Tribolium castaneum: one gene and its partner. The protein of the gene in region 2 interacts with the protein of the main gene of each other region in a pairwise test. Links are inferred from orthologs where the notes say so. Each region holds a gene or a part of one and is shown on either strand. Other genes may lie near its edges.

Region 1 (3,932 bases), on a different chromosome or scaffold from region 2:
GTTTAACATTTTTGATAGATACAGTTCAGCAAAAAAACGGAGTCTGCGAATCCGTGGTGATTTTTAGAATATTTTGTTTACGAAACCACTCAAAATTATGTTTTTCCAATTAGAAAAAAACGCTAAACCTCAGGAAAAACACAAAAACAATGTCATTTACAGACTAATTTATTACAAATTCATTAATTTACTATTACTTATTAAGTTTGACGGTATTTGGTGTTTCAAGGCTTTTAAAAATAGACATATTGAAATATGTCTATTGAAATTTTTAAGTCAAAAGCGTTCTTGGATGTTTGAAAAAGCGAATATAACACTATTTTCACCCCAATTTTGTGATTTTTCGGTCTATTAAAAAAGTTTCTCGAAATAATTGATATTTGGGAGTGTTTTTGCTAAAATGATGTATTTTTGTTGCTCCTAATGTAGTATTTTTAATACAGTTCAACAAAATATTGTGAAAAAAACCGAGGCTACAAAACCGTGATGATTTTTTGAATGGTTTCGTAGGAAACCAGTAAAAATAGTTAATTTCCGCATAGGAAAAAAATTGGTAAAACTCTGAAAAGTACAAAAATAATGCCATTTTCGGAATAATTTAAACAAACTTCATGTTTTTCCAAATAAGATTTATTCTATAGAACCGCATTATTCAATGACAACAATGTGCGAACACATTATTTAAGTGATTTTTTGCAGGATGATTCAAAAATGTTGGCCCAACTTACAAATGGTGCTAAAAGACGTTCAGCTAAACATCAAAATGATGGCAGATATTTTCTTAAATAATTTCCTTAAAAATTTAATTCAATAATTGTCATATTTGCTAGTTTGTTAGATATTTTATCCTCCATAAAGCACAAAACGATGTTTTTTCTTCTTTTGTTTTAACAGGTATCTGCTTAATGTTGCAAAGTCTAGCATTTCCCCTAACTAAATTCAAGAAAAAATAATACGTGCTATATCTTGACTCACATACGAGACTTCTGAATCACAGACTTCTGAAGTTATTCCACATCATTATTAAAAGTTGCAACATATTGCAACACATTAGACTTAGCATATTTGTCATTCTCCATACGAAATTTTCTTTTAAAAATGTTTCAGAGTGTTTGATTTACCTGTGAGGTTTTTTGTTTTTTTTTAAACAGTAAAAATTTTGGAATGCTTGCGACTGCCAAAGTCAAACACTTGCTAAAAAAAACCTACATAATTGTTTAGGCCCTGCATTTGTTTAATGAAATTATTAAGAAAGATTAGTACCTGCCAACTTATAATTAGAATTTATGTATAATTAGAATTTATAAAACATATACGCAGAAAACAATCTTATTTTTTTACCAACCTACCTTCAATGTCCTTGACGAGCAGGCTAAGTATCTTTTTGTCTTTAAAGAGGAAAGCCAGTTGTTGACCAACAGTAAACATCTGATTTGGAAACGAGTAAATAAATTCTTTAGCCATTTCATCTGTGTCATATTGCTCTTGCGATGTTCTATAATAAAATAATGTGTTAAAAAGGGCTCAAACTAAATGCAAACTATTCACGTTTTCTTTTGCATGTAATCAGCCTCCAGGACAATCGAAGTTATGTAATCTTCTTCCTTGTAAGGATTAACTTCAATGTCATCATTAATGGACAAGGTGGCCCATTTTCTCTGTGGTACACTGAACGCAACCTCATTCCTGTGAACTCTCGGGTCTTTCTTAATGGAAAAAATGAACTTTTTCACTCCTCCTGTGATGACTTCAATATGCCTGCAAATAAATCGGCTTCGGAACAGCTCATGTAATCCTAATGACTCACTCTGTAGATTGTGAAAAGTCGGCGTCATTCACGACAGCACAATTTGTCAATGACAGCTCATCTGAGGGGCATTTCACCACTTTAAACAACTAAAACAACAAATTTTTGTTAGTTTACTTGCGGTAGAGACAATCAAATACAATGTTCTTTAAATCATTTGAAAAATTACCATTTTCGTTCAAGAATAAATTCTGTAACTTCAGTTTGAAGATGCTGCAATGCAGGTTTAGTGAAAACCTGCAAAATCAATACTTTACACAGCACTGACAGGATAACAACCTTAACCTAACACAACTTAACCTCACTTACCCGTTTTACAGTGTCGCCAATCAACTGCCCACGTTACCCCTACTTTACATTAACTAGTAATTTTGCAACAATGTATCACAAAAAGGGTTCCAGAGCCAACGTCTGAATGTTAAGTGGCAAGATATAAGATTTCTTTCACTTTGCTTCAATAATTGAAATTAGTTGCAAATCTTTAAAAATTATGTTGGCGGCACTGTCACATCGTCATCTACAGCGCCCCTGGCGGCAGTAGCCGCGACTAAAGCTTAAGCCACATCAGTGATGATGTCAGGTCATCAAAAGAAAAAGTAAACTTGTAATAACGGAGGTTCGTGTTTATTGACCACTTACATAATTATTTTACAAAAAGTAAAAATGGAAGAGCGTCGGTCGTACGTTTACATCTCAATATTAAAATTACATACAAGTTATAATAATTTATTTGAATTTTGTACAAATAAAATGTGAATACAAAAACAACTTATTGTAGGATTTTGTGTTTTATTAGAAGTAATACGCTCATTATTAACAAAAATCAGTCAAAGAAATAGTACACACTATGGAACAAAACACTGCACACAGTAAGATATAAAAATTGTCTCTTTTACACTCACAACTCGTCATGATTTTCCTGTAACAAAAAAATATAAAAAATAGTATATTACATAAACAAGGTGCAGGAAGTATAATTATTGCGAGGGCTCAAGTTATCAAACGGAGTCCGAGCGTTTAATGACATTCCTACCGAATTTATAGTTATTTTATCCACAATCACTTTTTTTAATTTTTAATTTAACACTGTTGCCAACCCAAAAAAATCAGAAAATTCGAGATTAAAATAATTGAATAGAACAGGACAAACATCAACAAATTTGATTTAATTTTTCAACATTTTTAAAGATGTTTTGATAAGACTGCAAAATAATATAGACCGAAATAACAAATTCGATCTAACAGACACTGCATTTTTAGAGAAATTCTTTAAAATAAATCTAACAGATCTCGTAGTAACACTGTCACCAACGCAAAAAATAAAAATCTCCAGATCCGAGCTGAAAGAATTATCAGATTTACACCCCTTTCACCACACTACCATTTTTTTTAAATCTTTTTAATAGTGTAGCAGGTTCACTTACCAAATTCGGTTTAAATCTTTCCAATGGCATCAAAGGTTTACGTTTTTTTTAAGAGAAAATGAGCGGTTAAAAACGGTTTAGAGTGGTGGAAAAATCTTGCGTTAGAAATAAGCTTCTAACCCATAATGATTTTCGTTTAAATGCTGTTGAAAAGTTTTTAACTGGTAAAATTATTACCACCTTAATTATTTAGTTTTATGGTAAACTTTTGATGAAATCTCGCTAAAAATAGACGAGAAAAATAGAGTGCAACAAGAAAAATGGAATTCGATTTAATTCCATGATTTTCTGACATATTTTGATAAGATCGTGTAAAATAAATGTGTATCTGGTTTAAACTAAATTCAGCGAAAGAAGCTGAAATAACACTTGCTATTTAACTTGTAACTTTTCGACCGATTTTAGCGAAATTTAATAAAAAAAGAGTTTTGACCTCAAAACAGCAAAGCCTTTACTTTATTGAGCAAATTTACATTCGAGAAAAATCTTGAAAAACGACTCATTTTATTAGTTTCTATAGTTATCATTATTTTTTAATGTTTTTAAATTTCACACCAAATAATCGGTCCCTAACCCAATGATGAATTATTATTTTTGAATTTACTATCAATTCGTAGCAGTTTTTTTTTAATACATAAATTACAATTCATCAAAAAATCGAAATTTTTAGATGTACCAAGACTCAGTATTATCTCCTAAGA
Region 2 (3,429 bases):
TAATCCGAATTGATAGTTGCATAGGAGTCTATAGTAAAATGTCAATGTTAGAGCTTATAAAAAGTGCGAAAAGTGCTAATATGAATTACTTATATCTCAAAAACTATAGCTGCAACAATCATTCAACACCAGCAAAAAATCTGAGGCAACAGATATGTAACCTAAATTGTTAAAAAAAATGTGTTCTTTATTAAAAGAAATGTTAACTTAAGTTAAGCTAATCTCCAAAACTAAGGCTGATAGAAAAATTCTGTTTGCACTTTTGAAATCAGCGTTTAGCAATTAATTAACAACAGCAAAAAAAACTTTGGCAACAGCTATACTATATAAACTAGTGTAATAACAAAAGATACACTGAGGTCTGGCATAATATGCATACTAGTGGTAATCGAAAAAAGTCGGTGTAGTAAACATTTTTCGATGAAACAATTTTTTAACAGATGGGCTATTTTGTATGTTTTTTCGAATAGAACAATCCGGTATCATATCGTCTAGCTGCCAGTTGTAATATTTTTTTACAAAATAAAATCGCGTATTTCATTGGCGCAGTCAGTAGGAGCCCCCGATATTCGCACATTTTTAGCTTATTCCAAGGTTAATTTAAAACTGATTTTTTCAATTAGAATATGTCCTGTCCATGCGCTAGATAATAAAGTTATAAAAAAAACTTAGGTAGATTTTAAAATATTTATTTATGCAAAAGCAAGATGACAATAATCCAAATACATGAGTGTACAAAAACGAATCTAAGGTATATTCGCCAAATAATCCTTAACATGAGAAGGCTCCAATCTTCTGAAGCCTGACTCATCACAAATCCCAACTTCAATATTATCCGCCGTCATCTGCCCCTCAAAGCTCTCTTTTAACGTCAAAATCGCAGTGTGAACTGCATCATCCAACTCCAAATCTTCACTGTATCTAAAGACCAAACAATACAAACGATTTTTTTCCAGAAATCATACTTAAAATCAACACAATTTTTTACATAATTTAAAAACAGCGATATTTAGAATGGCAACACAATTTTTTATACTCAACTATCGCCTCGGAAGATAAAAATAAATTCAAGTCCAGTGCTAACTATTGTAAAACAACGCACAAAAATTCATTTCTTCGTCAGAAATTTGACATAAGTAAGAAAAAATTTTAATGCTGAGGTATACATTACTTTTTTTCTACAATCGTAATAATTTAAATAATTGTAATTTGGCGTGTAACAAAAAATATTTTTGGTTGATTAATAAAGAGCGTCGACCAAAATGTTAAATACAAATGATAATATACAAAAATTATTATTACCTCTTCTCTAAGAAAGTCTTGCCATTGATGTAGTTTTTACCCATCGCTGTGGCCTTCCACGCGAAATAGGCCCCTGAGGGGTCACACTGGAACAAATAAGGCCTGCCACTGTCCCACCCACAAATCAACAAAGACACGCCAAAGGGCCGTACGCCCCCTGATTGCGTATATTCTTGCATAACAGCCGCCACACGTTGTACAAGTTGTACAGTAGGGATGGGCTCTCGGTAGGTGAGAAAATACTTCTGGGCCATTTTTCTCGCCTGTTTGACCAGTAATCTATAATCGGGGCCCATGCCCGAATAAATCATACCAATGTGTTTCGTTATCATTTCGACTTTATGCACACTGTGTTCATCATAAAGTATGGATTTGTGTTTGTTTTCGGTGGCAATAACGACTCCATTACAGGCTGCAATAATGATATTAGGTGAAAATTATTAAGAAAGAGGATCTGAGGTACCCTTGATCCCCACGGAGGGGGCACCTGCAGCCACAGCAGCTAAGGCATACTCGATTTGCACTAGTTTTCCTGAAGGGCTAAAAGTGAGGTTATCGGTGAAAAAATAAGTAAAACAGTAGCACAAAAACTATCAAATTGTGGGAAAAATCACAATTGTGATTTTTTTCCAACTTATACAAAGCGAAATCATGTTTTTACCTGAAAGTAGTTAAAGAAAAACTATACCGCTCAGATGCCATGATTACTTGCAAAACAAATTGTTTTTATGTTGGTAATGCTGTTTGTTAACTTTTTACCAAATCATTCAAACCGTCTCAGCACCATCTAGAAGCTTGGTTACGCACTAAGCAAAACTCTTTTACAGGAAACTGTAGCAGAAAAACAGTTGCTCTTTTGGCTGTAAGATATCAGCTAAATGTGCATTTTCCATTAATAACAAATTAAAAACTATTACAATTTTTTGGTGCTCTGATAAAAACACAATTTTTTTAAAATTTAGTATTAGCTGTTCCAAAACTATAAAAACATCGCATTTTCTCTCAAAATTAGCTGTTATAAATTATCCATACACTTCAAAAAAATAATAGCAAATGTAATTTATACTTTCGATGAGATTTACAATTCCATCAATTTTATTTAAAAAAAATCGACGTTGGCGTTTTTATAGTTTTGAAACAGCTAATTTATTATAAATTTATTCGTTAAATAAATTAGTATTAATTTTCAATTATTAACAATTTAGTTTTTATCAGATATCAGGCAGTGTTGAACTCTAATAAAACTATTGTTATTTTGGAATTCATTTATTTTTTTTTTTTTGAAAAATTACTTTTAGCACCCCATATTTTACATTTGATCAAAAAACCGTCTAAATCTACAAAATAAGTGTAAATTGGTTGTGTTTTGACAAAACAGGCTTCAAAATCACAAAAATAAAATAAAACCAATCGGTTTCACTCCAGTTTTTGGGCGAAATTTCGTCAAAAGTAGGTTGTAAAATGACAAAATTCGGTCAAAAAATGAGTTCTTCTTTCTTTTAAACACGTTTTTTAAATTTGTTGCCTCCTCACATTTTTTCTCTAATTAAGGCTTTTATTATATATTTTTTTAAATTTCTAAACTAGTTATCCATGAGCCATGACAGTTTATCTGTCAATATGTCGAAATTGTTTTTAAAGGAATAAAAAACATGCATTATAACTTTTGTTAAACCGAAAAAAGAAATTAGACCAAAAATAGTATTTTCCCCAACTTTTTAGTACATTATTGATGAGACAGAAAGCTAATTATTTGCAGAATGCATTGCATTACATTTCTTTCTTTTTTGTTAATTACTATTCTTCTATAAAATAATCGTAACCAGTAAAACAACTACTTATTAAAAATAAGGTTGCCAAATATTTTTGTTTTGTTTAAATTACTTGAATTTAATTGTGTGGAGCTGGCCCGAAAGCCAATCGGAGTCATGTCCTTTCAATGCGCTCAACCAATAAAAAGGCAAAGATAATGTATAGACAAAAAATTTCAAAGCAAATGTAGTGGTAGATCAATAGATCATCGCAGGCTGATTTCAAAATGGTTTGGAGGACTATACTTAATATTTAATGTTATAAAAATATTTTGGTTTAATTTGCATTCATTTCTCGTATAAATGAGAGAAACAA

Evidence for each region.
Region 1: the proteins of Prosalpha2 (region 2) and vesicle-fusing ATPase 1 interact in binary tests that used the Caenorhabditis elegans proteins (3 or more experiments, as listed by UniProt). The link is inferred for Tribolium castaneum from reciprocal best matches to the Caenorhabditis elegans genes pas-2 and nsf-1.

What each region holds. Positions count from the first base shown.
Region 1 is NC_087395.1:13,853,952-13,857,883, reverse strand, and holds the start of vesicle-fusing ATPase 1, read right to left. Parts: upstream 2,240-3,932; 5' UTR 2,117-2,239; intron 2,113-2,116; exon of another isoform or gene 2,045-2,112; 5' UTR 1,980-2,044; coding exon 1,977-1,979; intron 1,897-1,976; coding exon 1,808-1,896; intron 1,759-1,807; coding exon 1,549-1,758; intron 1,496-1,548; coding exon 1,350-1,495; intron 1-1,349. Other genes in the region: Calr (calreticulin), read right to left, coding at 2,706-2,726. UniProt on the Caenorhabditis elegans protein: Required for vesicle-mediated transport. Catalyzes the fusion of transport vesicles within the Golgi cisternae. Is also required for transport from the endoplasmic reticulum to the Golgi stack.
Region 2 is NC_087397.1:11,803,861-11,807,289, forward strand, and holds Prosalpha2 (proteasome subunit alpha type-2), read right to left. Parts: upstream 2,105-3,429; 5' UTR 2,005-2,104; coding exon 1,964-2,004; intron 1,843-1,963; coding exon 1,766-1,842; intron 1,715-1,765; coding exon 1,303-1,714; intron 922-1,302; coding exon 747-921; 3' UTR 674-746; downstream 1-673. UniProt on the Caenorhabditis elegans protein: The proteasome is a multicatalytic proteinase complex which is characterized by its ability to cleave peptides with Arg, Phe, Tyr, Leu, and Glu adjacent to the leaving group at neutral or slightly basic pH.